2 linked regions of the Astyanax mexicanus genome follow. The protein of the gene in region 1 purifies or fractionates together with the protein of each later gene. This does not show direct contact. Links are inferred from orthologs where the notes say so. Each region holds a gene or a part of one and is shown on either strand. Other genes may lie near its edges. The genes, in order: rbm17 and calcium homeostasis endoplasmic reticulum protein.

Region 1 (16,579 bases):
TCACATTTAAAATATTTATAGTTGTCAAAACCAATACTCAAACACTGAATCATGTCTGGCTGCACAGGAAGTGACTTATCAGTATTTGTAAAAGTGATATCACTATCGCCCTTTGAACTTTCTAACTGTACAGATGGAATTCTGCCATTGTTATTGTATACATTAGTGCTTCATTTACTCCCAAATACCAAAAAAGTACAAAAGTAAAAGAGGGACACAACCAATTACACTTTACAGTCACTCAAATAGAAAATACAGTACATGTAAGTAAATACAGTATATGCAGTACATACATTTAGGCCCATGAATATTTGGACAGTGACACAATCTTTATGATTTGTGCTCTGCATTAGGGGTGTGCCATATCGTATCGTACACGATAATATCGTCAAAATGTTTAAATATCGTGAACGATATTATACCTTAAAATATCGTGCCACATCACCCATCCCATTTCCCGTTATATTTCTACTAGAGACAGATTATATCTGTCCAGTATCATTGATTTTACTTTAATCCTGGATATATGGAGATATTTGCAGTGCATTCTTATTAGTATCATGACATCCTGGATCCTTAACTTCTATTACAAATCTGATAAAATTATTGTATTATTTAATATTTCAGTTAGGCGTGTGCAATATTATATTGCATGTTATAATACATTTTTTTTCTTGCAGTGTATAGTGTAATTTTTTTAATCATTTTTTAAAACGTGTTTTGTCACCAAGAGTATCGTTATCGTGAAAATACCATGAAATATCGTGATATTATTTTAGGGCCATATCGCCCACCCCTACTCTGCATGCCACAAAACTGTCTTTCAAATGAAGCAAAATGAAACTGCACTGTAGAAGTTTAATTCAAGGAGTTGAACAAAAATATGCTATGAAGTGTTTAGGAAATTCAACCATTTATCACCAAGGCACTCTCATTTCAGGTGCTCAAAAGAAACTGGACAAATGAACTCAACCATAAATAAAATGTTCATTTTTAATACTTTGTTCCTTTAACCACATGTTGTGGGTTCACAGCAGCTGCTTCCAAAATGCAGATGCTACACCTGGAATCTACTCCAGACCTTTTGTATGCTTAACCAATGATGGACTAGGGAGAGAATAGCCTATGGAACCTATGGAATAGCTTTTGAGCTATTCCTAATACTTTTGAGCCCCTAAATTAGAACGCTTTGTAACAAAATCGTTATATTTTCTAACCCATTCTATTAAACCTGAAAGTCTACACTTTAACTGCATCTCAGTTGTTTCATTTCAAATCAAGTGTGACGGCATGGAGAGCCATGTGGGCCTAACTATACAGTTTGCATAACATTCTAATGCATATTTTAAATTCTCTTAATGTTGTCTGGGGGTCACACCTAAATAAACCTTTAGCAATGATATTTTAGAATGTTTAATGCATTTTCTAACAACTATGCATTTTACTTTCTCTCATTAAAGTATTGTAGAATACCTGAAAGACTGTGTAAGCTGTTATTATTCATTTTCATAAAGCCTTTTTTCATTGTTTAGCTATTAAAGCAAATCAAGACATTTAATATAAATGTGTATCATTCAGAAAGTACAGGGAGTACTGTGCAAACTTATTGGAGCAATTCTATGATTACAAGGTCAGAAACAACTAATTGTTAAAATAATCACAATTAGTAAAATGCGAAAAGCACTTATATTAATATATTATATTAAAAGCATATTAATAAGCATTGTTAGAATAATTTCTGACTGTTCTGCAAGTAAACTTGTATGAGCTAGGATTGTGTAGATGTACAGCAAATGAGTATTATTAAAAAAAAAAAAAAGAAAACAATAAGCAAAATACAGTGACGACAGATTAACAGGTGTAAGATCATACCTGATGCTCCCGAATTAGACCCAGGTGTGTCAGCCGCACTCTGACTGGATCCTGAATCTGAGAAACAGACACATAAGGAACACATCAATATACACAGACACAAACACACATACAGCAGCACAGCAGCAACTCATTGTCTGCAGCAAATTTAATGTTAAAACAAATCTGCAAAAAAAAAAAAGGATATCTTAAAATTATAATAAACTATTATAGGACTGAGCTGTGGAACAGCAGAATTGTGCACATCAAATAAATTTTGTCATTATACTGATATTGGATCAGAATAATAACAGTAAAATAAAAATGCATATTAATCATTAAAATTATCTAATGTGTATTTTGTAAGACTTCTTAAAAACTGTACTGATTAGTGACTTTACCTCAACTTTACAGGGATTTTCCCGTACGTGAAAAACGTGCCTTGGGAAGTATGAGTGTGTATGTGTTGTTTAATGTGGTGAGTGTGTGTGTGTGAGCTCACTCTTTTCCGTTGAGTCTCCGATGATGATTTTCCCGCCACGTTTGCTGGTCTTCTCCACCGACAGAGCCGTGCTCAAACCCTGCTCATGCTTTCCCAGACCCTGACCCTCACGGAACCCATACTTCTGCATGATCTTATGAGCCACCGTCCCCCTAAAACACACATACACACACACAAATGATTACACACAGATGATTACCACTGGTTTTTACCTGACATGACATCATACAATGTGCCCATTAACAATCATATCAATGTTCCTTGTTGGAAAATACCCACAGTTACACCAAAAAGGTCAAGCATAAGATGTTGCCCTGACCCTCACTGACTAAAGAATCATCTCAGAATCCATCTGCATCACGTATAAAAAGCGCAGTCTGTAATATGTAACAAGGAAGCACTGATGTGAGTAAATGTGATGTGGCTTGACAACAACAACAACGGAAATTATAATAATAACAATAATAATAATAATAATTTAGTAATAATAAAAAAAACATTGTTATGGATACCATCAAGCAGGCATGCTTATTTTCTCACATTTTAAAGGGCAAAACAAATATTCTTCAGTACTAGATGAGGGTGATATGGCCCATATCACTATATTTCAGGGTATTTGTGCGATAACAATATGGTGGTATGATAAGGTGATTTTTTTTTCAGGAATATTCTACTGCAATACAATAGAAAATGCGTTGGTAGACAAAAAAAACCTAAACAAGATTCTGATTTTGTCTAAAATAACAATAGAGTAACAAAAGTGTAACAAAAAAAGTAAAAGCAATGTATTATAAGTGTTTTTAATCGCACATTTACTATGCAATATTGTTGCATACTATACAATATGAAACCCCTAGTCCGCACACTTAATTCAAATATAGAGAAGAGGGTACCACTCAGACAAGATTTATTTTACACGGGATGGCAAGGAGGGGTACCTCAGAGTTCTATAAAAAACAACCCGTAAAAATAATTTCAGGTTATATTATACCTGAGTGAATTTTCACCTTGGAAAATATTCTAACATGTCATACAAGTTAAAGTCTGATTTGAAGTTTGCAAAACCTTAAGATTTTCCAGTGGACTTTTAAGAGAAGCACACACACACAAACACACAATTATAAAAGCAAACAAAAGTACATATATCTGACTATGTGCATACAGTAGCTTAGCACAACGTCCATTCATTTGAAGTTATAAAAAACAATTTTAACTCAAACCATGTTTTAAATCGGGCACAATACAGTGCAACCAATGACAGTAGGGCTGCAACGAGTACTCGACATAACTGAGAACATTGACTTTAAAAATTTGATGGCACAGAATTTCGTTGTCGACACATCATTAATGCGTGATGGTGTGGACTACACCTCGTGGGAAGGTTAATGGGCTCAAACATGTGTCTCCTACTCCAGGTCTCTAAAAATGTCTAAAGACACCAGATAAGACAACACCTATACTCACTGTATATCAGCTCATTGTACATTGAATCATATTCTCAGAGTTAAATCCCACATATAGTGCCTTCTCAATTAAATACTTTAAAGTAGAATTTTCTGAAAATAACCTTCTGCATGTGGGAGTGTCTCCTATAATACGCTTTGTAATTTTATATTGCTATGTCAACTATTCCAATGTGCTGCATAATCTATCTAGGGCCCTAAAAGGTTAAGCTGTTAAGATTCAGTAAATCATGCATTGGATGGAAGCCTCCATAAAAAATTATTTATCAGATTAGTCGACTACTAAAACAGTCATTAGCTGTAGCCTTAATGACAGCAAAGCTTATTTAACTGCATCATTTTATAATTTCTATAAAATAAAGTCTGATTAATATAGATATGCACAGAATATTCAGTGACCAGAATTTTTTTTAATTAAAAAAAAAAAAAACTTAAGAACATTTGATGAAGTTAAAAAGGTTAGGTATTAAATAAATATTTTTAAATTGTGGTTTAAATCAGGACAAAAAATATGTTAAATTAATGTAATGTAATGCTGAAAACATGGCAACCTAAAAAATTTAAATCAGCAAGAAACATATTTGCAATTCAGCCAAATCTTTTATCCAAAACTTTTAATTTGTTGCATCCTGAGATGGACATAATAATCTGTCGTCGTACAAAATGAATTATGGTGGGTTTTGGTACATAAAATAATCCCATCACTTATTCTTCATCCCATTTGTATCACTTTAAAATGGAAATAACACTGCAATTAGTTTTTAAATGATTCTTTTGGTCATCAATTCCTTACATGTACCTCTAAAACTGCTTGTGATGTATAAAATAAAAAAAATACTACAATAAATAAGCTGAATTAACAGTGTTCTGTATTCACACTCACCCCATGTTAGCCAGGAAGGAGCTGGTGGGTCCTGGCGGAGAGCGGGGTCTCTCTGAGTCGTCATAAACAGGGGGCGGGATTGCTGCTTTAGATCTCTGACGACCCTCCTCATCATATGAGTAGGATGCTGGAGTTAAAACACAGGAAACACCAAACATGACCAAACTATCCAAACCATCATTCAAATGCAGTTAAATTCAAATGATACATCAGCACAGCATAGTGGAGACAAGCCTGAACTACGTGGTCTACAGGAAACTACAGAGGTAATGGGAAATTCAAATAAAATAATTGTTAAACTGTTAACAGCACTTCAAAAGTTGTACAGTAGTTTGTTTCACAAAAGTATTATACAATTAAACTGTAAGAATGTGAAAAAAACACAATTATGCAAAGAATCTCTACAATATTTTATGGCACTTGTGTTACTGAAGAAGATAAAATACTCGTAAATAAGCAAATACCAGGAATCATGGATTTATTGGTGTCAGTTTCACAGAAACTACTTTTCCTCACTGCAGGTTTACCCTATTCATTTGATTAGCGCCACAACTGTAAATGTAAATGTATGGCGACTGAACTGGAAAGAGTAGGTGATGTTAGATACAGTGTACACCCAGTTAGACGGCGCTAGAATGTAATTTTGAATTTTAATAGACAAAAACAAATCAGTATGGCAAAATTAAAAGAAAAAACATACATGAATAAAAATATGTACTTACTGTCCCTTTCCACTAAAGACGTTGGAGGGGCAATAGCAGCACCACCCATACCTATGTGTCAAACAAAAAGAGTCAGAAAGATGTACAGATCATTTTGCATCAAGTTATCATTTCAGCACTTATATACAGAATCAATCAATAGTTTGGACACACCTTCTCATTATTGTTTTTTTTACTTCCTTATTTAAATATTTTCTACATTGTGGAATAACATTAAAGGCATGAAAACAATAAAAGAACACATTATACATTATGTAATAAACAGTAAAAAAAAAAAAGTGTTCGTCCTCCACAATCCGCTGATCTAAACCCGATTAACTGAGATGGTGATTTGGGATGAGCTGGAACGAAAAGCAGCAGCTATTGTTCAGCACCTCCAGAAACTCCATGAAAAGGTGTGTCCAAACTTGTGAATGGTAGAACACAATACTAGTTCTGGTCCCATGATATGTGGCACTTCAATGTAAAATATGTTAAAAACAGGGGGAAAATAAAAGGAACAGGAAAAAAAAAAATTTGTTATAGTTTGAGAAGACACCCACTCCTCTTCCTCTTCTCTTTCTCATACTCCTCATCCTCATCTGAATCTGCCTCTGTGGGGAAACGTGAGAAACCACTGGGGGCCGATCCTTCATGACGCTCCTTTCGCTTCCTATTTCGACAAACAAGAGAGGCAACTGAAACTCAAACCAGGCAGTACGAAATGACCAGCACAATATTTCTTTAAAGAGGCTTTAAAGAGTGGCTAATATAGTAATAGGAGTAGGAATTTCAGGCCATCACACGAAACAATTACAATTACCACAATAACAATGATATCCCAATACTGTGGTTCCGTGATATCTGATATATCACAAGACAATTCTCTTGAACACCTCACGGCATCTGCGTTACTGAAGAGGTAAAATACTCATAAATTTCTCAAACATATCATAAATACACCAAATCACACTGTCTATTGAAAAAGCATAAAAAAAAAAAAAACTAAACCCAGGTGAACAGGACCAGCAGGGCATTGGTGTACAGACAGGGTACGTGTGGAATGTGCATACTTCTCTCTCTCTTCGATCTCCTTCTGCCGCTCCTGTTCCCTCTGCCTCTGACGTTCCTCCCTGTGTCTTTTCACCACTTTCTCATAGTCATTTGGGAACATGGGATCATACTCATCCGGGAGCGGGATTAGGACATCACCTGCAGAAAAGCCACCTGGTACGTCCTGTCACACACAAAAATATAAACTTAAAATAGCTGCTATAAAGAAGCTACCCAACTAAACAGTTCTTATAATGCCTTAAGATTTGCAAAAGAATGTATCATACTGTATAATAGTGGTGAGCCATACCATACCATGCCCAATATATTGTGGCAGTAACATTGTGATTTTAAATTCTATATCATGTAAATACTATAATTATTTTTTGGGAAACATTAAGAGTATATTCTGTATTTTTGCAATATTTATGCATATACTAAATAGCATTTACTTCAGTATCTTGAAAAAAAATTCTACATTATTTCTACAATAATTTTCTTCTTATTATTATTATTATTATTATTTTAATCCCTAACTTATCTCATCTAAAAGTATTGGACAGACCTCCATCAATACAGAGAACACTGTTCCAGCTTTCTTCACTCACCTTCAGCCCTGCTGCTACATGTGGGGGTGTGTCTGGAATCTGCCGCTCGTCACTTCCTCTCTTGAGATCAACAACTGGAGCCAAAACAGTGGATTGTCTCATCCTCTGCGTCTGCGAAGGGGGAAAACAAAGATCTATTTCCAGGCCAATTTCAGGTTTAAGTAAAGATATAATGGTACTACATAATACAGACAACACAGAACATCTGCAGTTTAATGTTATAAAAACAGAATGCAAACCTTTGCTTGTGTCAGAGCAGCTTTTTTCACTTTCAGCTGCGACTGAAGCAGTTTGAAGTTCTTCGACCATCCTTCAGTCTTGGCGTCACTGGTAGCGACCCCCAAATCATCGTAAAGAGACATTGGTTCACCTGATCACACAACACAATGAATGTAGAGAATGTTACACTTGTTTCATTTTATTTTCCACACATCAACAGTTTGCATTACTTTCATTACCTGCAGATATAACTCATGAAACAAGAACAAGAACTCATTAACTTGTTTTTTTATTAGGGAAGCACTGGTTCTTGTCTGCTTTGCCAATAGTGATTTGGAAAATTGGTTATTACCAAAACTGGTTAATGATCACTACAGTTGTTAAAAGGTTCATATTTTTTAAATAAAAGTTAATGTCTGAGTACTTGTAGTTTATGCTGAAGCTGTGTGTAACAAAAAGCCTGTTCTGGTGCTTATTAAATTTGCACACACTTCTCTTCTTGTCCTGCTGACAAGAAAATCCCAGCAGAAATCTATTTTTAAGGAAACTGATAAGCTTTGAGGTGGATGAAGGTATACCGGTATATACTAATTAATCAGTGCTGTAATATCAGAGAAAGAGAAAGAAAGAGAGAGAGACACACAGACAGAAAGACAGAGAAAGAGACACAGAGACAGGCACACAGAGAGACAGAGAGAGATAGAAAGAGACACAGAGACAGACAGAGAAAGAAACAGACAGAGAAATAACGAGACAGAGAGATAGAGAGACACACAGAGAGACAAAGAGAGACTGAGAGAGAGAGAGAGAGAGAGAGAGAGAGAGAGAGAGAGAGAGAGAGAGAGCAAAAACACAAAGAAGCAGAAGGAGAGACAGAGACAGAAAGGGAGAGAGAAAGAGAGACAGACACAGACAAACAGAGAGAGAGAGAGAGAGAGAGAGAGACTTGAAGAGAGTGAGACAGACAGACAGAAATATTCCATATATGTAATGGTATTAGTTTGGCACTGATACAGTTGATTGTATGCTACTCTACTGTACAACAGTGTGTTGTTAATGGTTTATTTTGGTTGGACGATTTTGTTATTTTTTTACTCTCTTAAAATTAGACCAAAGTTAATTCTAAAGCACATTCACATAGTTTAGGCATCCAGAAAATAGAATTCGATGCAGTTATCAGTTTGTGCACCAACTCCACTGTAAAACCACAGTACTGGTGCACAGAATAGACCCAACAAAACGATGCAGTTTGGCTATTTGTCTTCTAAACACATTCAGGCTGGTTTTAGCAGAGGTTTGAGGTGTTATACAGCTTAAAATGATCTCAACTGATCATATGCTATGTAACAAAAAATAAAATGTGCCTGAAATGTCTCTAAACACAAAAAGCACACACAAAACACAGGCTAAGCTTCATTAGCCAGGTTGGCTAGCTACCATTTCCCACGCCAGCCCCAGCGCTAACTGTGACCACAGCTAAAATACCCTACCACGCACTGATAGTATTGATGGTTTAAAAAGCACTTTAGACCATCTTTTAGTAAATACCTGTGATTAAATTCCAAACGGGAGCGAGAAACCTCAATATTCCACCACATTTAGCACAGCATGCTAACGCGCCGTCTCCTCGTCGCTTCTAATGACGTCATCAAAAGTGGCCAAACGAAGTGCTGCCCTCTAGTGTGAGAATCACAGAAGCTCAGCATCATCCAACAACACAGTCCACACTCCCACCTATCACAACCACAAACCCAGCACCTAGCATTACTACTATAAACTGATATCTCATTATTCTGAGATATTATCTCATTACTCTGAGATACTAAGACATTATTTTGATATAATAAGTCATTAATTTGAGATACTAAGTCATTGTTCTAAGATACTAAGTCATTATTTTGAGATACTTAGTCATTATTTTGGGATAATGTCATTATTTTAAGAAACTACATCATTATTTTGAGACACTATGTCATTATTTTGCGATGCTGTGCCATTATTTTAAGATACAAAGTCATTATTTTGAGATACTAAGTCATTAAGATACTATGTGTGGTGTGGTAGTGTAGACTTGAACAGTTATGGAGTGAAGGTTTGCCACAAGGATACTGTATAGACACTGCCAGGTGAAATCCAGATTTTTAAATTTATTTTAACTGTGCAAAAAACTAAAATACTAAGCCATTATTTTAAGAAACTAAGTCATTATTTTAAAATGCTAAATCATTGTTTTGAGATATTAAGTCAGCAAAAATAATCTTTAAATAACCCCTTAGAATGTCAAAATAATTATTATCTCAAAATAACGACTTATGTCAGAATAATGACTTATTATCTGTCTGTGCCAGGTGATGGAACCATAATAAGTCAGATTTCCCAACAACTCTGGGCAGAAAAGTCTTAGCACAGGTTTTGTCCACCTGTAAGAAAACAGCCTTTCCTTCAGTCAATTTTAGTCAGTCAGACCAAATTGGCATTAAACCGCACAGTCTGCTGGATGCTGTGAATTTACTATATATCTCTGTGTAGTTTATTAATATGAGGCTTGTGTTTCTAAAGAACGCAATATAACAGCCAGATGTTACTCCATAATAAGCCCATAAACACAATGTCAAAAAATCATTAAAATGTTCCACCCTGTAATTGTCCACTCTATAGTACAGCTTGCCATAACAAGATGGACACATCCATAAAAGGACAAAAAATGAAAATATTAAGTGATCAAGCAGGACAATAATAATTTCTGTGTAGTCTGAAGTCTTATAACATATGCTAAATAGTCCAAAAGTACTGTCATTTTAAGTAGATTTAAGCAGAATTAAGCAGAGCTTGTGTTTTAAAGACGATCACAAGGTGGAGCCATTGCTACCAAATCCCTCTAATAGCCCTGTCCTAAACAATCCGGGTAATATGGGGTCATATAGCTGTAGAGAAATCTTTCTAACTTTAAATAAAAGTCAATGTAAAAGGGTCGTTCTACAGAAACGCCCCCTTTTGAAATGGCAAAATGTCTTTTTTTTTGTAAAATTTAAACTTAGACTATGTTAATACATAACATAAATAGATGCATATCATGAATACGCATACTTGATTTGATCTTTTTTGTTAGTGTATTGAAATATTTTGGCTACCAAATAGGGGTGTAAGGAAATACTTATATAATAAAGTATTACAATAGTTTATTTGGCAATGCTCGAATGATTTTCAAAAACACAGTATAAATTGTAATGATTAGTTTAGATGACATACACGTTTGTCCATATAAATTCAGAAAATAACAATATAATAAATCAAATCTTTACAATATTAGCAATGTCAATAACATTTTTTAAAACCTTTTCTTTATTGATAGCAGGGAATGTCTGTGGTAGAGGCTCAAACCGAAACAATAAAGGTCTGTCACGCCTAGCTCACCCTCCCATCTGATATACAGTAAATCACTCTATTACCGAGAAGAACAGAGCCGCCAGGCAGGGTTTAAAAAATAAACAAGTAGTATAATGAAAATAAAAGTGAAACAATTCAGGCAGAGTGCCTGAAACCTTTTACCTATTAACAGAGATAAGCATGTCAACAAGTGTCCTGGACCTTTGGATGATTTCGAACAGTGCTTTTTACGACAAATATTATTTATAATAATAATAATAATAATAATAATAATAATAATAATCTTTTTTTTTTTTTTTGGAAAACGAAAAAAGACAACCTTTACTTTATTCTCAATTTTTATAATTTTGCATCCGGGGAAGAAAATTAAAATAACATTAAATGTAATGTATATATACGAATATATATATACATATATATATATATATATATATATATATATATATAATATATATATAATAATAAAAAAATAAAAAAAAAATAATATATATATATATATATATATATATATATATATATATATATATATATATATATATATATATATATATACGTATATTATTATTATTATTATTTTTTTTTTTTTACGCAGCAAATAGTGCCCATTGTGGTAGTGATGCTAGCGATGATAAAAGCGTGGTAGTAATGCTAACACTGTGGTAGTAATGCTAATGGTAGTAGCCATAATTGAAAGGGAGTCATGCTAACACAAAAAATCTCAAATATATTGGTAAATGAGATCAAAGTTTACAAGTTTATAAGTTTTTGTTAAAAGCAATTTTATTTTTAACATATTGTTACACAAGGTTTATGTATAAATTCAGTATATTTGCTACATGCACAAACCGCACTTTCTGAACATGTAAGGATATTTAAATATATATATATATATATATATATATATATATATATATATATATATATATATATATATATATATATATATATATAAACTAGCGTGGCGTTGGTTGGTTATTGGGTTGAAGCCCCAGTGGGCGGAGCTTAGTTCAGTGGAGAAGTCATATGGTGAAGTAACCTCCAGCAGCAGGTTAGTGTACAAGTACAGTGTTACAAGTTACAAGTACAGTGTATAGTGTACTTTACTCTTTCCCGCTGATGTTGGTGGATCAGTGACTGGGACGTCTCCGGTCTGGACTGAAGGAGCTCTGTGGAAAATATAATTTTGCCTGAGGAACACAGCTCGGTACAGCACCGCCATATGCTACCCTGATCCACTGTGACCCACGGCGTTATTTATACCCCCAGCCCACGCGAAGTGTTGGGACGCTCTGCGGTGTGTGCTCAGTGTTTGTGTGCGCAGTGTGTGTGTGTGTGTGTGTGTGTGTGTGTGTGTGTGTGTGTGTGTGTTTAAGTGAAAGTGAAACCGGGCTACTTATGTTATTTTGCTGAACGGAAAGGAAGCTGTCGTAGTCACAGGCCGTGCTTCAGATGACTGGAGTCTGTGTATTTCCTAAAATATGTGTAAATCACCGGCAGGCAGACCCAGTGTTGGTATTTCTGGACATGCGGGCATCATCTCTCCTCCTCCTCACCTTCATCTTCACCGCGGCTGAGTACCCCCTCCACATCTTCGGGGTAAACGGTGAGTACCCTGATAGCCAAGAACATTAAATAAACGTTTTTTTTTGCATTACAACTTTGAATGTTGTTGATTGAAAAACAACTCTTATCCAACCTTTGTTTAACATTACCTAATATATTCATTAGTTTGTGTTGCGAATATGACATTGAATCAACGTTCATTTAAAGGTTTAAAGTGGTTGGGCTGAGCTCTTCTACACTCTGGTGATAGCAAAGAACATAAATAACCTTTATTATTTGGATGTATTACACCTTGTATTGATGGTGGGGCACATTTAGCATTTCCTAATAGGCACCAGTTAGTGTTTAGATTATGCCATTGAATAAACTTTTATTAAAAGGTTTTTAGGGATTTTAGTGGGGCTCTTCTACACTCTTGTTGTAGCAAAGAACATTGATTAAACATCATTTTAAGTTGCATTGAGTTCATGTATCTCCTAGTGTTGATGAGGGGAAAACAACTTTATTTAACATGGCCTAATATTCACTGGTTAGTTTTGCAAGTCTGACATTGAATCAACGTTCATTTAAAGGTTTTAAGTGGTTGGGCTGAGCTCTTCTACACTCTGATGATAGCAAAGAACATAAATAAACTTTATTATTTAGATGTATTACATATTTTCTTGATGGTGATGGGGGGGGAAAAAAGCACATTTATTAGCATTTCCTAATAGGCTCCAGTTAGTGTTCAAATTATGCCATTGAATAAACTTTTATTAAAAGGTTTTTAGGGATTTTAGTGAGGCTCTTCTACACTCTTGTGGTAGCAAAGAACATTGATTTAAACATCATTTTAAGTTGCATTGAGTTATTGTATCTTCTAGTGTTGATGAGGGGAAAACAACTTTATTTAACATGGCCTAATATTCACTGGTTAGTTTTGCAATCTGACATTGAATCAACGTTTATTTAAATGGTTTGAGTGGTTTTGGCTCTCCTACATTCCCCTGATAGCAGAGAATATTAAATGTTATTTGTTGGATGCATTACATCTTTTAATGTTGATGATGGAAAAACAACATGTATGTATTTCATGTAAGTAAAGTTTAATACAAACCATACATATAAAACCATGACATTTGAATCAGTGTTGAATAACAGTAAAATCAATGTGCACAAATAAATCTACTCTGACGTCGGAGATCTGCGCTGTTTTACTGCACTGATTCAACGTCCTTTGGCTATTCTGGTAATATTTAATCTCTGTTTATTCCTATATATGGCTTGGTAGATGAAGCTATTTAAGATATTGAAGCTGTGGAGCAGTGGAACTGTTCTGTGGAATGATGGGGCTTCTTCCAATGCTTTTAAGAGGACTTGGGAATGTAGGTGGGGTGGTGATCCTTTAACATCCTGAGCTCACTCATTTTTGCTCTTGTCAGAAATTGCAATATAATCCTAACAGCAATGCGTTGAATAAAAATCTAGCAGAAAGCCTTTTACCCTGGACAGTAGAGATTGTTACTCCTACAAAAACAGTATAAATACTATTTTAATACCCTTGATTTCAGAAGAAACAATAAACAAGCATGGAGTGTGAGACTTTAGTAAGTCGAACTGGGGCAAGAGTTTCAGGGAGTTTAGAGCGTCTATGTTTTTCTTAAAATAAAAATATCAAATTATGACACAACATATAAATAATGCAAACATTACATTACGTTACATTTGGCATACGCTTTTGTCCAAAGCAACTTACAATAGTGACAACACAAACAAAGACAATACACACCCCACACTAATCCCATACACAAAATGAATTCAATTTCTTTTTCACTCAAAATTTTTCAAACACTATCCCATAATACCAAAAGCGAAAAGGTTTGTTACTATGCAATAGGGTTGTGCCGATGGACTATATCATCGGCCACGCCCAATTTTTTTTTTTTTTCAGAAACATGCACATAATTTTGTTACTCGCCCCTTAAAAAATGTACAAAATAAAATAAATTATTTAATTTCTATTATTATTAGAAAAATAACAAACGAAAATAAACCCAAAATGTTGACCAAAATATAATCTAACGAATTTCAAAACATAGAAACGAAAAATGTTAAAATGGTATTAATATAACATAATATAATATAACAGCTGGATCAAACAGTTTAGCGTCAGTCATAAGGAATGCCCGCGCGGCATTGCGATAAAAGAAAAAAAAAACATTTTAATAAATAAGGTCCTATCAAGTGATGTAAAATATATGGTATTAAGAGGTATTAAATTCACATATTTATTGATATTTAATCAAGAGAAATCAGGCAAAATGCGCCATGCCTCGCTGTGCTGCGCTTTCTCTCTCTCTACCCTCCCTCCCTCCCTCCCGCAGCGCGGAGCTGAATTCGGCGCGAGGCTAAAAATAATATCAACTAAACTCAGTTTAGTTAAATAAATTCAGGTGAGTGGGGACCTGTAAAGTTAATCAAATATTGTCAAATACAAAGGATAGGTTGAGGTTTTGGTGAGCTGTTTCAATTATTTGAAACTGAAACTGATATTATTCTGCACACTATAAGAAAGCATATGCAAATGTATATAAAAAAAACATATGGAGACCCCATAGAGCTATTCTAGGTTGTGTAAAAAGAGATATAATATGGGCCTTTTAACTTAACAAGGAAAAAATATATAGTTTTACATCATTTGCATACAATTTAAGTGTTTGCCCCTTCATGATTTTCTTTTTTTTTTTTTGCATGTTTGCCCCCTTATAAATGTTTCAGATCATTAAATAAATTTAAATATTAGTCAAAGACAAAACAAGTAAACACAAAATGCAATTTCTCTAGTTTTTGCAGTTTCAGTTACCCCAAGAGCACTGCAACCAAGAGGTCACAAAAAAACTCCAACAACATGCACAGAACTGCAGGCCTCACTTGCCTCAGTTAAGGTCAACATTAATGACTCCATCATAAGAAAGAGACTAGGCAAAAATGGCCTGCATGTCAGAATGCCAAGATCAAAATAACTTAGCCGAAAAACATCAAGGCTTGTCTTAATTGTGCCAGGAAACATCTTGATGATTCACAAGAATATTGGGAAAATACTCTGTGGACTGACAAAACAAAAAAGTTGAACTTCTTGGAAGGTTGCATTACATCTAGTGCATTTTAGAAAAAGAACATCATACAAAACAGTAAAACATGATGGTGGTAGTGTGATGGTCTGGGGCTGCTTTGCTGCTTCAAGACCTGGCAGACTTGCTGTGATGAATGAAACAATAAATTCCACCCCCTACCAAAAAATAATGAAGCAGAATGTCCGTCCCTCTGTTTGTCACCTCAAGCTAAAATAAGCTTGGGTTCTGCAGCAGGACAATGATCTAAAACACACCAGCAGGACACACCACCTCTGGATGGCTAAAGAAAAAACAAAGCAAATACTTTGGAGTGGCCTAATCAAAGTCCTGACCTGAATCCTATTGAGATGATGTGGCATGACCTTAAAATGCGGTTCATACTCGAAAACCCTCCAATGTGGTTAAATTCTATTTTCTGTAAAGATGAGTGGGCCAACATTCTTCCACAGTGCTCTAAAAGACGCATTGCACATTACTGCAAATGCAGTTGTTGCTGCTAAGGGTGGACCAACCAATTTTAGTTTTAGTTAGTTTTAAGGGGCAAACACTTTTCACACAGTGCCATGTAGTTTTGGATTTTTTTTATTCCTTAATAATAAAAACTTAAAAAACAAATTAAAAGTCAACATTTTTTTGGTTTACTTGTATTATCTTTTACAAATATTTGAATTACTTAAAAAATAGGAATCATGAAGAGTTTTCACACGACTGCATATATACACTTCGTTTAGTGTGGTGCAATTACTAATTAACCATGAAGCCACACAGGAATTTGGGATCTGCATATTTGTATAAGGAACAACATTCTAATTCAACACTGTTGAATCGCTTCTACCCTGCAGCTTTTACTGAAAAGGTACACTGTCTGGTGGTTCCTCACATACACAAATATTTTTAATGGCAAAGAGAAGTGGCTTCCTGTAGTGTTTTGCTTAGATAAAAAAGAAGGAACACAGGAAAAAAACTGGAGCCCAAAATAATGATCCACAGACAAAACAAAGGAAGACCTGTTAAACCAACACAACTGCCCTCATTAGAATAGATTAACAACACTTTAAAATTTTTACATTTAAGAGTAGGAAAATACACTACACTATTTTGCCAAAAGTATTCACAGCCAGCATTGTGTTTGGAGATGTATGACCTGTATGGAGCTGCACAGCCTTGGAAACCCAATCCATGAAGTTTTCAGTGTTCTACTGTTCATAAACTAATCTGAAGGCCATGTGAAGTTTT
Region 2 (16,468 bases), on another chromosome or scaffold:
AACCGTTCACTTGGTGGCATGGGTGGGGGGAGACGGATGTCTTTGGGGTCCAGAGGTTTGTAGTCATGATCTTCCAGCTAGATGAAAAGCAAAGAGCAAGACAAGTTAAAAGCTATAGAAAAAAAAACACAGAAAAATTATCTGCATCCAAAGTCTGACCGACTGGAAGAAAAATCCAAACTTTATACAAAATTTGCCAATTTAAAGGAACAATCAGTAATAAATGTGGGTGTGTGAAATGGCTAAAGGAGTCCTGTTTTATGTTTCACCCGCTTTTCCCCACACTCTGTAGCTGATCAGTAAATATACGTTTCAATGTCTCTACTATAATAGTGGTGGTGATAAATATGGTTAGCAACCATACTGAAGCTCAGTGATTACCTGTTCAGCAGAAAAATAGCCAGCTTGCCTGTTTCCATGGCTTCAGCGTACTATTTTCATGCTATCTATACCTGGCAACCCTGAGCATGGAACTAGGACACTCTGAGGATAAAATCTACACTGTGTCGTATAACACAGTTCAATTAAGAACATAATGCCTGAAGCTCTGCTGACAACAGCTGCCAGTGATTAAACTCACAATGTTACCTTAATATCTGATGATACATCCTGATCCTTTTATGAATTACAACAGAAAATATAATATATCATCCTTATTGGTACCTTATTGGTATTGGCTTTAATCCTCAAGTAATTTCACAGAAAGTATTGCAGAAACACTGGAAAGGGTCAGAGAGCTTACTTTCACCAGAGGTGCCATGAGACCTGCAGGCAAGTCGAAATACGGGACATTGGGGACCAGACTAGGATCGTCCTGGTTCACGTGAGCGGGAGTTTGGCGTCTCATGTGTGGGGACTGGCCGTTAAAGCCGTGGGGTGGAGGACCGAAATCAGGGTGCTGGTTACTACCCCATGGAGGATGTTCGGACATTGCTGGTGGGGGGATTCTCTGGTTCGGGTGGTGGTGGGGAGGACCCATTTCTAAAATGAGAAAATACAAACATATGTATGATAAAAAATACAAAGAAGAAAAAATGTGCCTGAATCTTAATTAATAAAATCACATCCTCACCTCCTGGAAAATCCCCCTGCGGGTAGTCGAAGCGATGTGGTGGGTACGGTGGGCGATCAAAGTGGTGTCTAGGTGGGAAGTCGTCTTGCATGAAGCGAGGCGGGAAACGATTAAAGTTGTGGGGTGGTGGTGGCTGGTTGAAGGGGGGTGGCTGTTGGTGGGGTGGGAAGGGTCCCCTGAAGTGTGGTGGGCGCTGCATGCGAAAAGGGGGCTCCCGTTGGCTCCAAGGAGGCTGGTCTTGCTGGTTGCTCCAGGGTGGTTGTTCAAACTGTCCACTCCAGGATGGAGGGGGCTCGTTCTGACCACCCCAAGGGCCGCCAGGACCGCCAGGACCTCCAGGGCCTCCGGGTCCTCCTGGACCTCCGGGTCCTCCAGGGCCCCCATCCCGAGGGCTATTCCAATTGGAATCCCTTTGCTCATTCCACATCCCCTCGTGGCTGTTCCAGGGTGGGCAAGGAGGTGGCGCTTGACTGGGGTCAAATGGTGGCTGTGAGAAATAGCAGGATGAGAAATGTCAGGATGGTGAGGTGAAACTGAAAGGACTGTTTTTTTATGAGGGGTTGGAATCACAGGTCATCTCATAATACAATATAATCATAATAAATTGCACACGATTACAATCATATAACAGTATTGGGATTCTGTGAAGCTCGATATTTTGCATGGCAATTCTCTATGATATTTCACAGTAGATGATAAAATCCTCCTAAATAATCAAATACCAAGAATTATGGATTTATTGGTGTCAGCTTCACAGAATTTGTAGATTAACTTGGGGGGAGAGTCTTAGGGCGTTTAGACTGCCTATGTTTTAATAAAAATATTAATATATGGAGCCATGTATTGATAATATATCAATACAATATATAACAATATATCACAATATCAATATTATGTCCCACCCCTAGTTTCTATGTGCGCTGCGCCGCACATTTTAGTGGTTTCTTCTTGTAACAAACCACCATCTACTTAAGATGGGCTCATTATTAGAGGATTCGGAGCCACTGATTCAGAGGCTGACACTCACTGGTTGCTGTGGGTTCCAGGATGGCATGTTGTGCTGAGGGTCAAACCAGCCAGGCTTGTCCGGGGGTGCGGATGAATTAGAGTCTGTTGGTCTCGTCGGAGCGCCATCATAGTCACCTGGTGAAGGGCCAGCCATAGGAGGCTTTACATCTGTTAATAATAAAATGAGACACAGAAGTTACAGGTTACGTTCTGGTTTTATAAGCTAAAGAGTTAACTAATTTATTTTTATTTATTTTTTAAATACATAAACTGATCAGCCATAAACCATTGAGGTATGGACTTCACAAGACCGTTTAAGGTGTCCTGTGAAATCTGTTATTGAGATATGAGCTGTTTATACTGTGGCGTGAGGAGGCGGGGGAGTTGTGGGTCTGCCCCACGCCAGAGCGCAAAGCCATGCCTGTCTCAGCTGGCCCGCATGAGGGCTGATTGAGCCGCCAGCTGGGACAGGCATATATACTCAGCCTCGGCCCTCATTTGAGAGGACTTCCACTGGGGAGCTGAGGGCTGAGGCTGCACGGACTCTAACAGAGAATTAAGTTCAATTCTACAGACTCTAGAGCCCCATTGGGCTAGTAGTATGATTTAAGTTTGTTTTTGGGTGTGGTGGAGGGCATTTCAAAGCCTAAATAAAGGAACGTTTGAGTTCATTTACTCCCCGTGTCTGTGTTACCTGTGTGCTTCCTCCTTCCGGGTCACAGTGGTCACGCCCCTAACCCCAGGGGCCTACCACAATACTTACAAAATTGTAAGCTGTGGTCTTAACGAACTCTACCAATGCAATCTCCTATGTATAACCCACCACTTTATTCACCAGGTGTTGTTGTAATAAGATAATCAGTATAATTCAACTAACCACCGATCAGTGGTTTTAATATTATGGCTGATCACTGTGTAAAATATAACAGCATCTACTCACCAGACTGAGGGGCCATTGGCGGCTGAGCCACTTTAACGTCAGCCTCTGGTGGAGCTAGCTGGCTGACGGCAGCAGCTGCAGCTGCTGCAGCGACGCTCTGCTGCTGCTTCAGGTTGGTCACAAACTCCTCGTGCTGTGTCTTCAGAGCCTGGATCTGCTGCTGGAAGGCCAGCTGCACGGGCTGCACCACTCCAGCATATTCCGTGATTAGAGACGCCTAGAGATTGCAGATTAGTTACAAATATAGAATTAGTTAATTAGGTACCATTAATACACATGGATAAAAAATATGTGATGATTCTCTGGTATTAAAAATGGATTCCAAGCTTTGTAGCTTTTGGTTACAAGTCAAGTATAAAATGACAAATAAAATGAACCCACATACATATATATATGCATAACAAAAATATTACTGCAAATAATTGCTAACATTACTGCTACATATTACTGTGTAATATGGCTAATATAAGTTTTAGTACAGTAAGTTTTGCTGATTGCAGTACCTGATACTGTCCAAGGCCTAGCGCAGGACTCTGGAGCTGCTGAATGGTGACATCATCAAAGTAACCGTTCTTTTCCCACAGCTGGAGCAACTAGAAATAGTACAAAGAGATTATGTTTAAATAACAAATATCTTGTTTTAATATCTGTTAGATGTTGTATGTTAGAAAAAGTATTTTATTTTTTATTTATTTATTTATTTTTATTTATTTTTTTTTACATTTTTTTGAGTATTATTTTAGTAAACAAAATTGATTCCGTTCTGTTAACAGTCACTGGCAGACTGATGCATATACATACAGCTAACACATTTTGCATGCCTTTAATAAACTATGTGCTTATACTTTGGGTCGCTCAACAAACATACCCGTGTGATTTTCTGCTGCTTGTCTTCCTCCACAGCCAGGAAGCTGGTGCAATAGATAGGCACCACAACCTTCTGCAGGGCGGCCAGCAGATCCCTCTGATTCTTCCTTTGGCTGTGGAACCATAACAACGCAAGTCAATACTACGATTAGAATACACTACAACAATGCCACTACATTTTTATGTCCAAGTCCTGTGGTGTACCAGTGGTGTAGGACGTCATTCATGAGATAGATGAGATGTAGGCGGAGCTCGAAATGTGCCGTTTCTGCTGTAATGCGGTTGCGCAGGTGTGAGGTCATCAGCTCGCAGTGCTGTGGGGATTTAGCGTTGTTGAACATCCAGTTCTTTCCAGCCTAAAAAAAGAGAACAGCAGCGAATCTCTCAGATTAAACGTTACGGTGCTGAAGGCAAGCAAGTCTTTCTACAGTGAGGTCTATTTGCTGCTCACCGAAATGGCATCCTTGGTGCAGGTGTCGATGATTGGCTGGAGGAGGCCGTCAAACTCAGTCATGTCCAGCTGCGTCTCCACCAGCAGTTTCTGAGTCTGCTGCTCCATGGCCAAACCAATAGCTGCAGTTACTTGCTCCTACAGATAAAGAGAAAAAGGTGGTCCAGAATGTGAACCTTCCAGACTTCTATACTTATTTGTGCAGAACTTGCTTTTTTTTTAGTCCCATTTAATTAGAGGAATGCAATGCTTAAAGAAAGATTTTTTTTTTTCTGAATACATAAATGTGACTGTAGGACTATCACAGTATAAACAGTAACAATACATGTTTTTACATACGATTTCTTATGTTTTATGGGAAGATTGTATTAAACATATACTTTTTCCTTTATGTTTTGTAAAAATTAGTGCATACTTCATCAAATCACATTACATTTGATTAGAATTAGTATAAATTGTGTTATTCCAATTCTATTAACATTATATGCAGAACATTATGACCATTTCCTTGTTTCTACAAGAAATATTATTCACTGAGCATTAGTGGCAGTTTGTTGATCTATAATCACAGACTCTAGTTTCTGTGTTTCTCTGTAAACTTTATAATTCCGCTGTTTTTAATAGTCAGGACCACCTTAGAGCAGCTATTATTTGGGGTGTGTATTATTCACAGCACTGCAGTAACACTGGCATGGTGGAGTGTTGTGCATGTTGACACAGTGGTGTTGATAGAGTTGTAAAACATTTCAGTGACACTACTGGACTAGAGTAATCCACCAACAGTGTCCTGTGGGCAGAATCCTGTGGGCAGCATCCTGTGGGCAGCATCCTGTGGGCAGCATCCTGTGGGCAGCATCCTGTGGGCAGCATCCTGTGGGCAGCATCCTGTGGGCAGCATCCTGTGAGCAGCATCCTGTGAGCAGCATCCTGTGACCGCTGATTAAGGACTAGAGAATGAAAACACAAACTGTGCAACAGAGGAGCTTCTGTCTAATAGAGTGGATGTTGAGTGTCTAAAAACTCCAGCAGCACTGCTGTCTTTGATCCATTTAATTATACTACCACCATGCCAGTGTCACTGCAGTGCTGAGAATGAATGACCCACCATTGAAGGACAGAATGAAAGGACGATAATAAAGAAGAAGAACTACAGCCTGTAATTACAGTAATTACAATAAACCCAACCTGTATGTTTGAACTGACCAATAAAACAGATAAAATGTAGGAGGAGTTACCTGTCTGAGGCTGTTCAGGTGCTGCTCCTGCTGCTGGAGGTTCCACTGGCTCTGCTGAATGAGCTCCTCCACTGAAGGTGTACTGGGGGGGATAGGTGGAGGTGGAAGCAAGGACATTGGTGGAGGAACATCTGGGACTTCTTTACCAGGTGGTTTGCAATGCACTGCAACTGAAAGCACAGTTATTCTTTAATGGTACTAACTACTAAGTTCATTAGTTTAACAAACAAACACAAAAAGATAGAATATATATTTTTTAAAAACTCGAAAAAAAACAGATACACATCATCATGAAACAACCAGAGGCAACATCCAAAATCAAAAACTAGAAAGAACAACTGTAAGGAGTAAATGACTTTGTTTAATGGGCATTCTCAAAGCAAAGCCATCCAGTTGAGATATTATTAACAGCATGCATGCAACCGTACTCACACATGCTGGTTTTGTTTGCCCTGTTTTTCAGTGTTTAATAATGCCCATGAAAAACTAGAACAAACTGTTTAAGAGGGAACTGAGCTGTGGAACGTATGAGGCTACACTGAAGTCATACAACCAAACTGAATTAAAAAAAAAAAAATTATAACACAACAAGCAAGTAACTAAGGAAAGAACAATGAGATGTTTCCATTCTGAGCCTAAACAAATCTGTCCAACATTTTATTTAGTCAGTTTTGGGTTTGTATGCTAATGAATTTACTGGGCAGGCTGTTTTTTTTTTATCATCACAAGCAACTGAAGCTCCCTTCCCACAACCTTGTACAAAACATAAGACAAAACGCCTGACAAAGCTCAATATAAAATAAAGAGAAAAAGGCATTAAGCACTGATGATGCAAAAATACTCAATGACACCAGGCAAAGTGTGAATATTATACAGTAAATATAGATTGCGTCCAATTGTCAATCTAGTAAATACCTTCCATTTTATATTCATCATCGTGAGTGGTTGGATCTATGAGGAAAAAAGGATGACTTAGATACAAAACAAAGCATATTTGCACATTCCTGCACATTGGGGGGAAAACTTGACTGGATAAATCTATATGAATTTTACATTTCTTTAAGCATTTAATTCTGAAGCTACATCATTAAATGCTAGGTTAGTAAGCAAACAAGTTCAGTTCAGTTTCTAATACACACACTAATTTAACAACCCTTTATGGCCCTGGAGGGCCAGTTTCCTGCACAGTTTATAACCAATTTAACTAATCAGTTCATTGCCAAGTCAATCAGCAAACTGTGCAAAACTCTGCCCCCCAGTTCCCCAAAGCTGCACTAGCAGTTAGAACTGTTTCAGTGTACATACGCTGCTGTTGCTCAATTGCAAGCTTGTACTTGTAGTATCCAAAGTAATCTCCTCCGAAGAGAAAGGAGAATTTCGGATTGTCCTTCTGCTTCTCCATGGTCATCTTTTCAAACTCAGGCCCATTGCGGGCCACAAACTGCGCCAGCTTGTCAATGACATTGCGAAGCTCTTGATCTGGAACAACAAAAACAAAACACCACAAAAAAATGTTGACAGAAATCACATTATATATGTGAATTATTACCATGATCACTGAATGTTTACTGAGTCAAAATGTACATGCTAAGAAAGCTTCCTTTTACTTTTGGATAGACTTAATTCTTGTCTAGGAAACAAGCACTTATTGTTCAGCATCACCGTGAGTAGTAACAAATCTGTTACATGTACTTAGGGCTGAACAATATGTCCAAAACTAATATCAAAATATTTTTCTTAATTTCAGTTGATATGAATAGTATAGCATCCGCTTGTGGTGACTGTAATCATGTACTGATGCTGCTGGGTGATATGGTTATGTATGTATATAGAAGAAGAATATGTATCAGGATACAGTAAAATATCAACATACAATACGGGCAATTTTATTAATTAGAATTTTTAAATGGTTTAAATGTTAGACTTTTACTTCTACTCAAGTATATTCATGACAAGGGTGATTTTTTTATTAATTTATGTTATGTTGGCAGCATTATGAGTAATGTTAAACATTTATTTTAGACAAACATTGCACAATAAGAAAGACTGGCAAATGTCTTGAAGAGATATACTTGCCAGATTTATGTTTAACAGATGTACGTTTGAATTTACTCAAGTACATTCACACTTAAGGTATTTAGCTATTTACTTCTACTGAATTTGTTTTGGGAAGGTACTTGTATTACCTGTCATTATTATGTTAACAAATAAACTATACTTTTGTTTGAAAGTATGTGTTTAGACAGAAAGTCTAATTTCTGAAAACAAGTGCTATGAGTCATTAATATTAATATAGTGAAGAAAAGAGTAATAATTGTTAGCTTTCTCAGGCACTGGATACACACAGCACAACCAGCAAAGGAACAGAAGTATACGTTTACATCTGAATACATTTATTACTGATTCCAGGGTTTACTGACCAACTCTGATTCAACAGATAACCTGATAGAAATACATAATTCTTGGCTGAAAGAGAGAATACATAGCTTAAGCTGGGCTCTGTAACATTGGTTGTTTAAGTTAATCAGAAGAGCAGTGGCCATGGTGTTTCTCTCAATTAGCTAGCTTAGCTTAGCTCTATCTAATCCTGTGCACTCTCCTCAGATACGAACAGAAGCTACGACTAACTGAAAGAAGGTAAAGCACGCCGTTTTGATACACAGTTACACATGTAACCTGAAACCGCTCCATTAACGCGTTATAAACAACTGGGCTCTTCTTTAGTGAACAGTGGCTAATCGGCTAACCCGCAGCATGAGCCATTCAGAGCCTGGGCTATAGCTAACCGGGGTAGCTGTTAGCTAAGCTCAGTTGATCTACTGCTCATATCTCACCTTCTGGGGGAGTTGGGATATCCATAATGATCAAACCCAGACCTTTATCCGGTGAGTTACAGCTCAGTATGGAGATATTAAAGCTCTTTAAAGAGCTCGGCTCAGGGAAAGATAATTTTTCTGCACTGTGAAACCATCGCCAGGAGCCGAGTTGATTTCCGGCCGCGTTAGACTGAATTTCAAAATACATGCCCGACTTAATTGGGATATTTTAAAAGTTACATTATGTTCAGTGAAAATATACTGTATACATTAACCCTGGGGAGTGAGAATGAAGAAATATGGATTTTGTTAAATATAAAAACAGAGGAATAGGAGTACAAAATTATATTTATTGATTGAATTGATTGTAGAGATTTAATAAGCTGTTCTCTTGATTTATCAGTCTTCTTTATAATTTATGTATATAGCCAGTTCACTCAAATTAGCTTACTACAGTGTCCACTCTCAAATGTGTAACATCCTTGTAAAAATGTAAAAATAAATATATATATATATATATATATATATATATATATATAAAAATATATATAAGCAATTTTGGGAAATATCACTGAGCATAATTTACAGATTATTATTATTATTTTGCTTTACATATAATATTTATAAAATAACATTATTTTAATTATGAGTGTATATTTAATCTTAATTTAAGACAGACTCTGTATGAAACCCCCTGATCGAGCTGACTGTAATGAGCCTTTAAGTTGAAGAGGAAACCGCGCTGATCTCCGGCTCTTCCGCTCACGCCAGTTGGTGGCGACTTGCTCCATTATTTTTCAAAGAGCAAAAACAAAGAGAACCGGGAGGATTAGACTCGAGTTCAGCGGAGTTCAGAAGTGACCGGTTTCAGCAGATTTTACCGCGATGGCAGAAACATATTTCCACGTTCAGCTCACCGCTATTCTGGACATGCTGCTTAAAACAGCGGCGGTGGATATCTGCGCTCTGGCTGACAGCGTCTTCTCATCTCTACAGAGGGAAATAGAGAGATGCACGTCTGAAAACGACGAGCTGAGGCGGCAGCTCCAGAGTTTTCTATCAGAACCGAACATTTCAGAACCGATAGAAGCGGCTCCGCTAAAAACTAGAGAGAAAAACTGTAGAACGGAAGAGGATGTGGCTGGAAAATCACACGGTCAGTGCTGCAGGACTGAAATCAGCCTCTGTTCTTCTCTTACTTTTCTCTGCTGCAGCTTAATTAGGAATACAATGTGTTTCAGTGTATATATAGTGATTTATCGGTATTTCACATCGTTTCCAAATGTATATATGTAGAAATATAATTTTAAAAAGACAAACCATTCCCCCTAAAACAAAATAATCCCCCTAATGTATTAAATGAATCTTTTTCCTTGATTTAAAAATCTGTGCCCTCTATTCAGTGTAATTGTTAATTGTTTCCTCTGTTAAGTGTAACCCTCTATAGCAGGACTGTTTATGAAGAAGTAACCGTTTCACTTCTATTTTGAGGAGCTTGTCCTTGTTGATAGATCAGTACAAAAATGTGCAAAGAATGATCTAACATAATAATTTAGATCGTTGTCTTGAGGCATCAAATGGGAAAAATATATTTAATATGTACATAAAAACAAAATATGCCTTTAAACAGACAAAAATACTTGTTTTCCAGTACATGCACATTTTATTTTTTAAAGGTTGTTTTCATTTTTTAAATGTTAGGTATGTATGTATTGCAATATCAGCTATGTTTTGCACTACTGATATTTGTTTTATAAATCGTTTAAGATGTAAAGATGCGTGGCAGAGAATGGTTTATTTAGTGTTGTTTTTAAACCCCCAGCCACACCTCAAGATCCCAATATTCTGATTGCAAAAAAAACTTTTCTTATAATCTGACTTTATGCAGTTGATTATGTGCTTTTCATGTTATGACATTCATACAGAAATACATAGAGAAAAAATTTTTGATTACCCATATATTATGATACTATGATATTATGATAAATATCGTATTGCCAGTACACAGCCCTATTAGGTAATTGAGAATGCTAATTTATTCAATTGAGGGATGCCTACATCTCTAAATACATATGTATATGTAATTACATAATATGTATACTTTTGCTTCTTAGAATTGAACTTTTCAAGGGGAAAGCTCAAACGTGACTTTTTCTCTTTTCAGATTCTAAACAGAAGACAAACAATATGGAGACTAATACAGGAGCAGTCAAAAGTAGTCAGCGGGTAAGATTTTAAAGGTCTCTTTCAGTGTGTTTTAACCCTGGGCTTGTAGGCACAATACGAATCAGGTCCAAGTCAGTGGTTGGGAAACACTGGTCTATATGATGTTGTTTCAGGGCAGGTTGTGAATGATTTGTGCACTTACTGAATAATAAGGCACATGTTTTATGCAGTTTTCATTTAAGGTGTACTGACATTCAGAGTCGGTTTAGGTGTAAAGTTGTGGTTGTTTTTTGAGAAACGCCTGACTCTGATTTGTTTGCGGTGGTGGTGGTGGTAATTGGATTCAGGGGACTTCATGTGTGGAATGCAAAAATATTTATATGTAATGCTTAGTTTTGTAAAATATTGGTAAATCCTAAAGAATAAGTTTTCTTTTTTTTTTTCTTACAGTATTATGAATTCGGACTGCACAGTATATGTTTACGCATTGTGCATATGCAAAATAAACATATTGCAGGACATGCAATATCACAAAGTAAATGAAACCGTACATTTAATAACTTTCTTGTTTAAAAAGAGTACATTTATGTTTATGGTTTTATACAGTAAGCACTTGAGTAGAACAGTGACTAAATAAATATTGCATTTATTTGTTTGTTTTTGAAGCTGCAGAAGCGGAGAGCTGTATCAGCAGGAGTTAAAGTGGAGGTGACTGAGATGTATGTTACAAACCAGTGCATGCAAGATAGCATGGATGATGGTAAGGGCATTTATTAAAAAAACATGCACTAATAAGCCATAAGATTAAAAACATGAATTATCTGATAACAAAAACAACATCACCAAAACATCAGGCATCAGATTGTGGGGTGTTCCTGGTGTGCAGTTGTCAGTACCAACCAAAAAATGCTCCTAAGAAAGACCACTGGTGAACCAAAGTAGTATCAGGGTCATGAGTGTCTAAGACTCATTGATGTAACCTAGGGAGGCCCCACCTCACAGCTTTCAAGACTTAAAGGATCTGCTGCTAACGTCTTGGTGCCAGATATCACAGATCACCTTCAATGGTCTTATGGAGTCCATGTTTCTATAGGTCAGTGCTGTTAAGGTTGCACAAGTGGGACCTGCTCAACGTTAGAAGGTTGTTCTTTTGGGAATTTTTAATAGATGTATATTTGCTAGATACTATATTAATGTTTTAGAACAAATGCTGCCACTTTTGCCCTCTAGTTTGTCTGTTCATTTGAATTAAAAACCACACACTGATGTTTGAAGTTTTTGGTGTGAGGCTGTGAATTTTGGCAATAATATGTGAGTCTCACAGGCAGTGTTTGAGACTTAGAGGTATGTCCTCACAGGCTAAAGCACTGATAGTCACGTCTTGGATTAAGAACCAGCTAAGAATGTACTAGTAAACATATTCAGTATGTTTATTTCCAGTAAAGTGTTTCTTTTATTGTTCTACAGATGCAGAAATAAACGATCAACTTTCAGACCTCAGTCCTGAACTCAAGACTGAATTAAAGCACAACGCTGCATCCGGATCACATCTCAACTGGAACGACTGCAGCATTAAAGACTTTGAGGAGGAAGAAGAGGAGAATTCTTTATCTCTGGAGGGGCAGGAAGACATAGAGGACCTAAACACTCATTATGTACCATATGCCCAGTCTTCTAGAGACGAGGAAGATGAGGAAAGAGACAAAGACCAGCTGCAGCATGACCCAATGTCTTTGCCACGGACACGAGATTTACAGTGTTCCTTCATACAGATTGATGGAACTGTGACTGCTGCTGTTCCCCACAATAATGATAGGCAGGCACAATGTAAGAGTGTTTGTCCTATCTGTGGAAAAAGAGTGATGTCAGAAAAAAGACTGAGAGTTCACATTAAAACACATTCTGATCTGAGGCCCTACACATGCTTTCAGTGTGGGAAGAGTTTCACTCGAAAAGCAACCCTGAATTTCCACCAGAATATCCACAGAGGGGTGAAACCGTATGCCTGCAACTTCTGCCCAAAGTCATTTGCTGACCCAAGTGCTCTACGCAGACATAAAGCCATACACAAGGTGATGGGTTAGGACTGGAGTATTAATCACACAGTGAGAGCATGCTAACTTACATACTTGAAGCTGGTAAGGGGGACTTGGTGAGGGTAAATGAGACAAGTCCAATGTCTTCTCCAAATCAGTGCTTACTCTGTTGATTGAAAATGCTCTTATGAACTTCATCGAATGACTTCTGAGTCTACATTACAATTCCAGGTTTTTGGAATCTCAGTGTTTTCTATACAAATCTAATTCTGCTGCAGAAAGATGTGTAAATGATATGTAATATGTTTCTGGCTTGTGTATCTTGGTTGTGAAAACTGAGAATCCAAAACATTTTTGAAAGTGGTGATTAAATTTCAAGGCAAGTTAAATTTGATTCTTACTGTTCAGATTTTGCTGGTTCCCAGTATGTATTTTGGTATTTTTGGTTTATATTGTTATATAACTATTGTCACTGAATAACAGGAATTACTAATACGCTTCTTCATTTTACCATAATCTAAAACAAGCATGAACTGTTCGTTTGATGACATTTGTTGTAAAAAAAAACAAAAACGCTTTATAAATAAAATTTAAATGAATTGAATTTGTTAAACATCTGCGTGGCAGAAATGGTATTACAACTTGCCCCAAAGGGACGCTTTCCATGCTGGATATATAAAAATATCTGATTCAAGAATACTATTATCAGTAACAGGAAGATGTGATAAATCTATTTTTTATGCCAAGTAGATGCAAATGTAAGTGTGATAAAAAGTGAAATATTGAAATATATTTTATGTTTGTTGCATCTGTAATACATATTTTCCATGAACCTGCATAAAAACTTTTTTTAAAAATGAACTGTTGTGAATTTATAATACAGTGAGTTCTCTCACCATTTACTTTGGGGAGGTGGGGGGGGGGGGGGGGGCTTAGTGTGTTCTTAATGGACCCAAAAGTGGATATTCTATGGTATTAAAAACAATAGCATATCAAATCAAGAGGAATATTTTTAAATACTAATTGTACTTTTTTGTATTTGTTTGCATTTGGAAATTGATTGGAATGTCTGTACCATGTCAAAGTACCATTAAACAAAATTTGCTTAAGCATTAACTGATGGATAAACGCAGATGCTAAGATGAAAAGGGGGGGTAGTGGATCAGAGATACTTGTTTATCTGTCTGCTCCTCTAGATGGAGCTAAAACCCTGGTTTGGAAACCAGCTGTCTTCCTCAGTATGGATCAAAAAGGAGAAGAGAACACAAACAGGTTTCCCTCCTCCAGATCCTCATATTTGTGAATGATTTAGCCGGTGTAATCTTGTTATACCTGCTGGCTTGTAGTTTATAAAAGGTAAGAGTGTATTTCTATTTTTAGTGTTAGGTGGTGGTGGGAGTGTGTGGATGGTCAGTGTTGTTCCCTGCAGATTACTGTATAACTAGATTATAAACACACCTGCACTGATCAGCTGCATTCACTGACTGTACTGTATCTACAGTTTGATTCTTGTGGGATATTCTGCAGTTTCCTCTTATGTTAGCCTGCAGTTTTTGGACATTGTACTGTATGTTATATAGGTATATATACATATATTCATAAATACATTTGTGTTTTTAGTTATAGGGCCCACATCATGCTTTAAAATTTAAATTTAAAATGTAAAACTCACATGTGATACACAGTCTGTGGATCAGCACCTTCTTAAAATAATTGCTTCGTTAATTTTTGCCCAATCAGAAATAATCCTAATTCAAATGTTTTACATTTTAACAGCCAGAAACTGTAGAGCATTTCAAGATAGCTTTATGTAATAAAAATCCAGACTAAAAAACACAATAATAAGACTGAACAACTATGCAATATTTATAGCCTATAGCCTTTATTAATAAGAAGTAAACTTTATATTATAGTAAAAATCTCATCTCTAATTTTTAAACGAGCCCTGAGTTGTGAAAATTATTTTGGTGAAGTCACAATTTATTTTGATTTATTTTTTATTTAGTTAGTTATACGCATTACATACATAGGCCATTAATCCTAAAAGTGCAGAATGAAATGGTTTGATCAAGTAAGGATGTAGGTTACCACAGGTGATCAGCATCATGAGGAAATGATGTAGGAAAAAAGGCTATTATTTCTTGACTATTTTAGGAGGGTGACAATAAAATGAAAACAACTGAAAGCTTATTTACATAGATCTGCCCTTTTGGCCTACAGCCAAAGCATAATGTTATAAGGTGAGTTTTAAAGTGGTTGATTTTTAAAGAAACACAGGGCAGATTGAATTTATTAGTCTATTAGTACTTTTTTATTAGTACTTTTTTCCTGAACAAATTAGTTGCTGAATATTCAGGACATTCCTACCATTATCCAACCTATTGATAAGTGAAAAGACCAAATAATTTATACAAAATGATGACTTTTTTAATGTGATTAATCTCAACTAGCATGGAGTGAGGCACTTTTTGATTGTTCTCCTGAGTGTTAAAGGAGGTACATCTGCAAAACAAAAAATACATTTAACTATTTAATTTATCCAAGTCTGATAAATGTGGCAAAGTAATGCAAACCTGCAACCTGTGTTGGGTATTCTGCATTTGGGCAAATGTTTAATTTTGTTTGGTTTCAGCCAAACATTTTCATTAGGATCAGAATGCTAATTTTACAGTTTCTAACAATTAAATAGGCCTGTAAAACTTCATCATTAGTGCACCCTTCTGGTTAAATAATGAAATAAATTCAGGATGGTGGCCCTTTAATTTAGCTGATGCTGGATCTTGAAGATGTGGTCATTTTAATATAATCTAGGTCTGCTGTTTACAAGAGAAGGCAAAAAAAATGCGGGCACAAAAAAAAAAACTGGCGCCAGCCCACAAATCCAGCACCTCCACCACCCTCTCCTTCGCTGACCTCCACTTATGTCATGCGAAAGAGCTCTGTCCCATTGAAAAGCTCTCTTAATCAAACCCAATTAATTCCGCTCCTTTCCCTTATTATCCGCCCTGCGGAACGCATCATCCCAATCAGCCTGTTAACTCCAGCCTGGGCCCCATCGGAGGCCACAAAGAACGGAGCCAAATAATAGATTACGCAATTAATTAGTCGTTAGAGATGTAATTGTTCTTAATGAATACAAGCAGTCTGTGGGGGATTCAAGAGTGACTCATGAAGTAAACTATTACCACCACCACCCCTCCTCAATTTTCGCTCTACTAATCTCCATGATCAGACAGCAGGGATTTTTCCCAGCTACGCCACGGTAGTTTCTGTTCATCACCAGCTGTGGTGTAGAGAAGGAGAGCGTGGATCATTTGGAAACAAATAAAAACTAAAAAAGTGAAATGAGTATCTCTTGCTGTTGGGCCTGTTACTTAGGCCTTCTGTAGAGTTCCATCAGCAGAGTATGTTCCATCTCATACTATTAACAATAAGTGCGCTTCACAGTCTTTAAAACAATGCCATAGAACCAATCTAGATTCCATTAAGAGATGTAAAAGTGTGAAGAAGCTTTAAATAAGTAAGAAGGCATGAGCATCAAGTAAAGGTTCCTTAGACTTTTTAAATTATGATTTAGCCCTTCACCCCACAATATATTGATGTGCCAAATGTCATACGACAGGAAGTAGTATTGTGTCCCATGACTTTTGCCATGTCCCACTAAAAAAAACTAAGGGATGCTCTAAACCTGTGGGATGTGTGTGGGGCCTGCTGTACTGAATGCAGATGTGATTTCTGGCACACATGGACATTCCTAGCCAGACACCACTGGCCATGATCATTGCCACCCACTGCACTGTCCACCATTGGTGGTAATGCCTCTTACAACATGACATATTCCTTGTACACACATGACACTGTGGATCAAGAGGAATGT

What was found.
Region 2: the proteins of rbm17 (region 1) and calcium homeostasis endoplasmic reticulum protein purify together in Homo sapiens (co-immunoprecipitation; 4 studies listed by BioGRID and IntAct, counting the BioPlex papers as one, with this or other methods). This does not show direct contact. The link is inferred for Astyanax mexicanus from reciprocal best matches to the Homo sapiens genes RBM17 and CHERP.

The regions. Positions count from the first base shown.
Region 1 is NC_064409.1:20,774,322-20,790,900, reverse strand, and holds the start of rbm17 (splicing factor 45), read right to left. Parts: upstream 8,955-16,579; 5' UTR 8,829-8,954; intron 7,432-8,828; 5' UTR 7,424-7,431; coding exon 7,301-7,423; intron 7,173-7,300; coding exon 7,062-7,172; intron 6,638-7,061; coding exon 6,474-6,637; intron 6,074-6,473; coding exon 5,964-6,073; intron 5,473-5,963; coding exon 5,422-5,472; intron 4,827-5,421; coding exon 4,700-4,826; intron 2,506-4,699; coding exon 2,354-2,505; intron 1,930-2,353; coding exon 1,873-1,929; intron 1-1,872. Other genes in the region: il15ra (interleukin-15 receptor subunit alpha), read left to right, coding at 12,117-12,270. UniProt on the Homo sapiens protein: Splice factor that binds to the single-stranded 3'AG at the exon/intron border and promotes its utilization in the second catalytic step. Involved in the regulation of alternative splicing and the utilization of cryptic splice sites.
Region 2 is NC_064423.1:27,376,926-27,393,393, reverse strand, and holds the start of calcium homeostasis endoplasmic reticulum protein, read right to left. Parts: upstream 8,571-16,468; 5' UTR 8,433-8,570; coding exon 8,408-8,432; intron 7,053-8,407; coding exon 6,879-7,052; intron 6,525-6,878; coding exon 6,489-6,524; intron 5,744-6,488; coding exon 5,574-5,743; intron 4,477-5,573; coding exon 4,339-4,476; intron 4,244-4,338; coding exon 4,092-4,243; intron 4,001-4,091; coding exon 3,889-4,000; intron 3,614-3,888; coding exon 3,524-3,613; intron 3,238-3,523; coding exon 3,021-3,237; intron 2,249-3,020; coding exon 2,100-2,248; intron 1,560-2,099; coding exon 1,073-1,559; intron 982-1,072; coding exon 743-981; intron 78-742; coding exon 1-77. Other genes in the region: zinc finger protein 615, read left to right, coding at 9,275-9,545, 10,554-10,615, 11,222-11,315, 12,023-12,639. UniProt on the Homo sapiens protein: Involved in calcium homeostasis, growth and proliferation.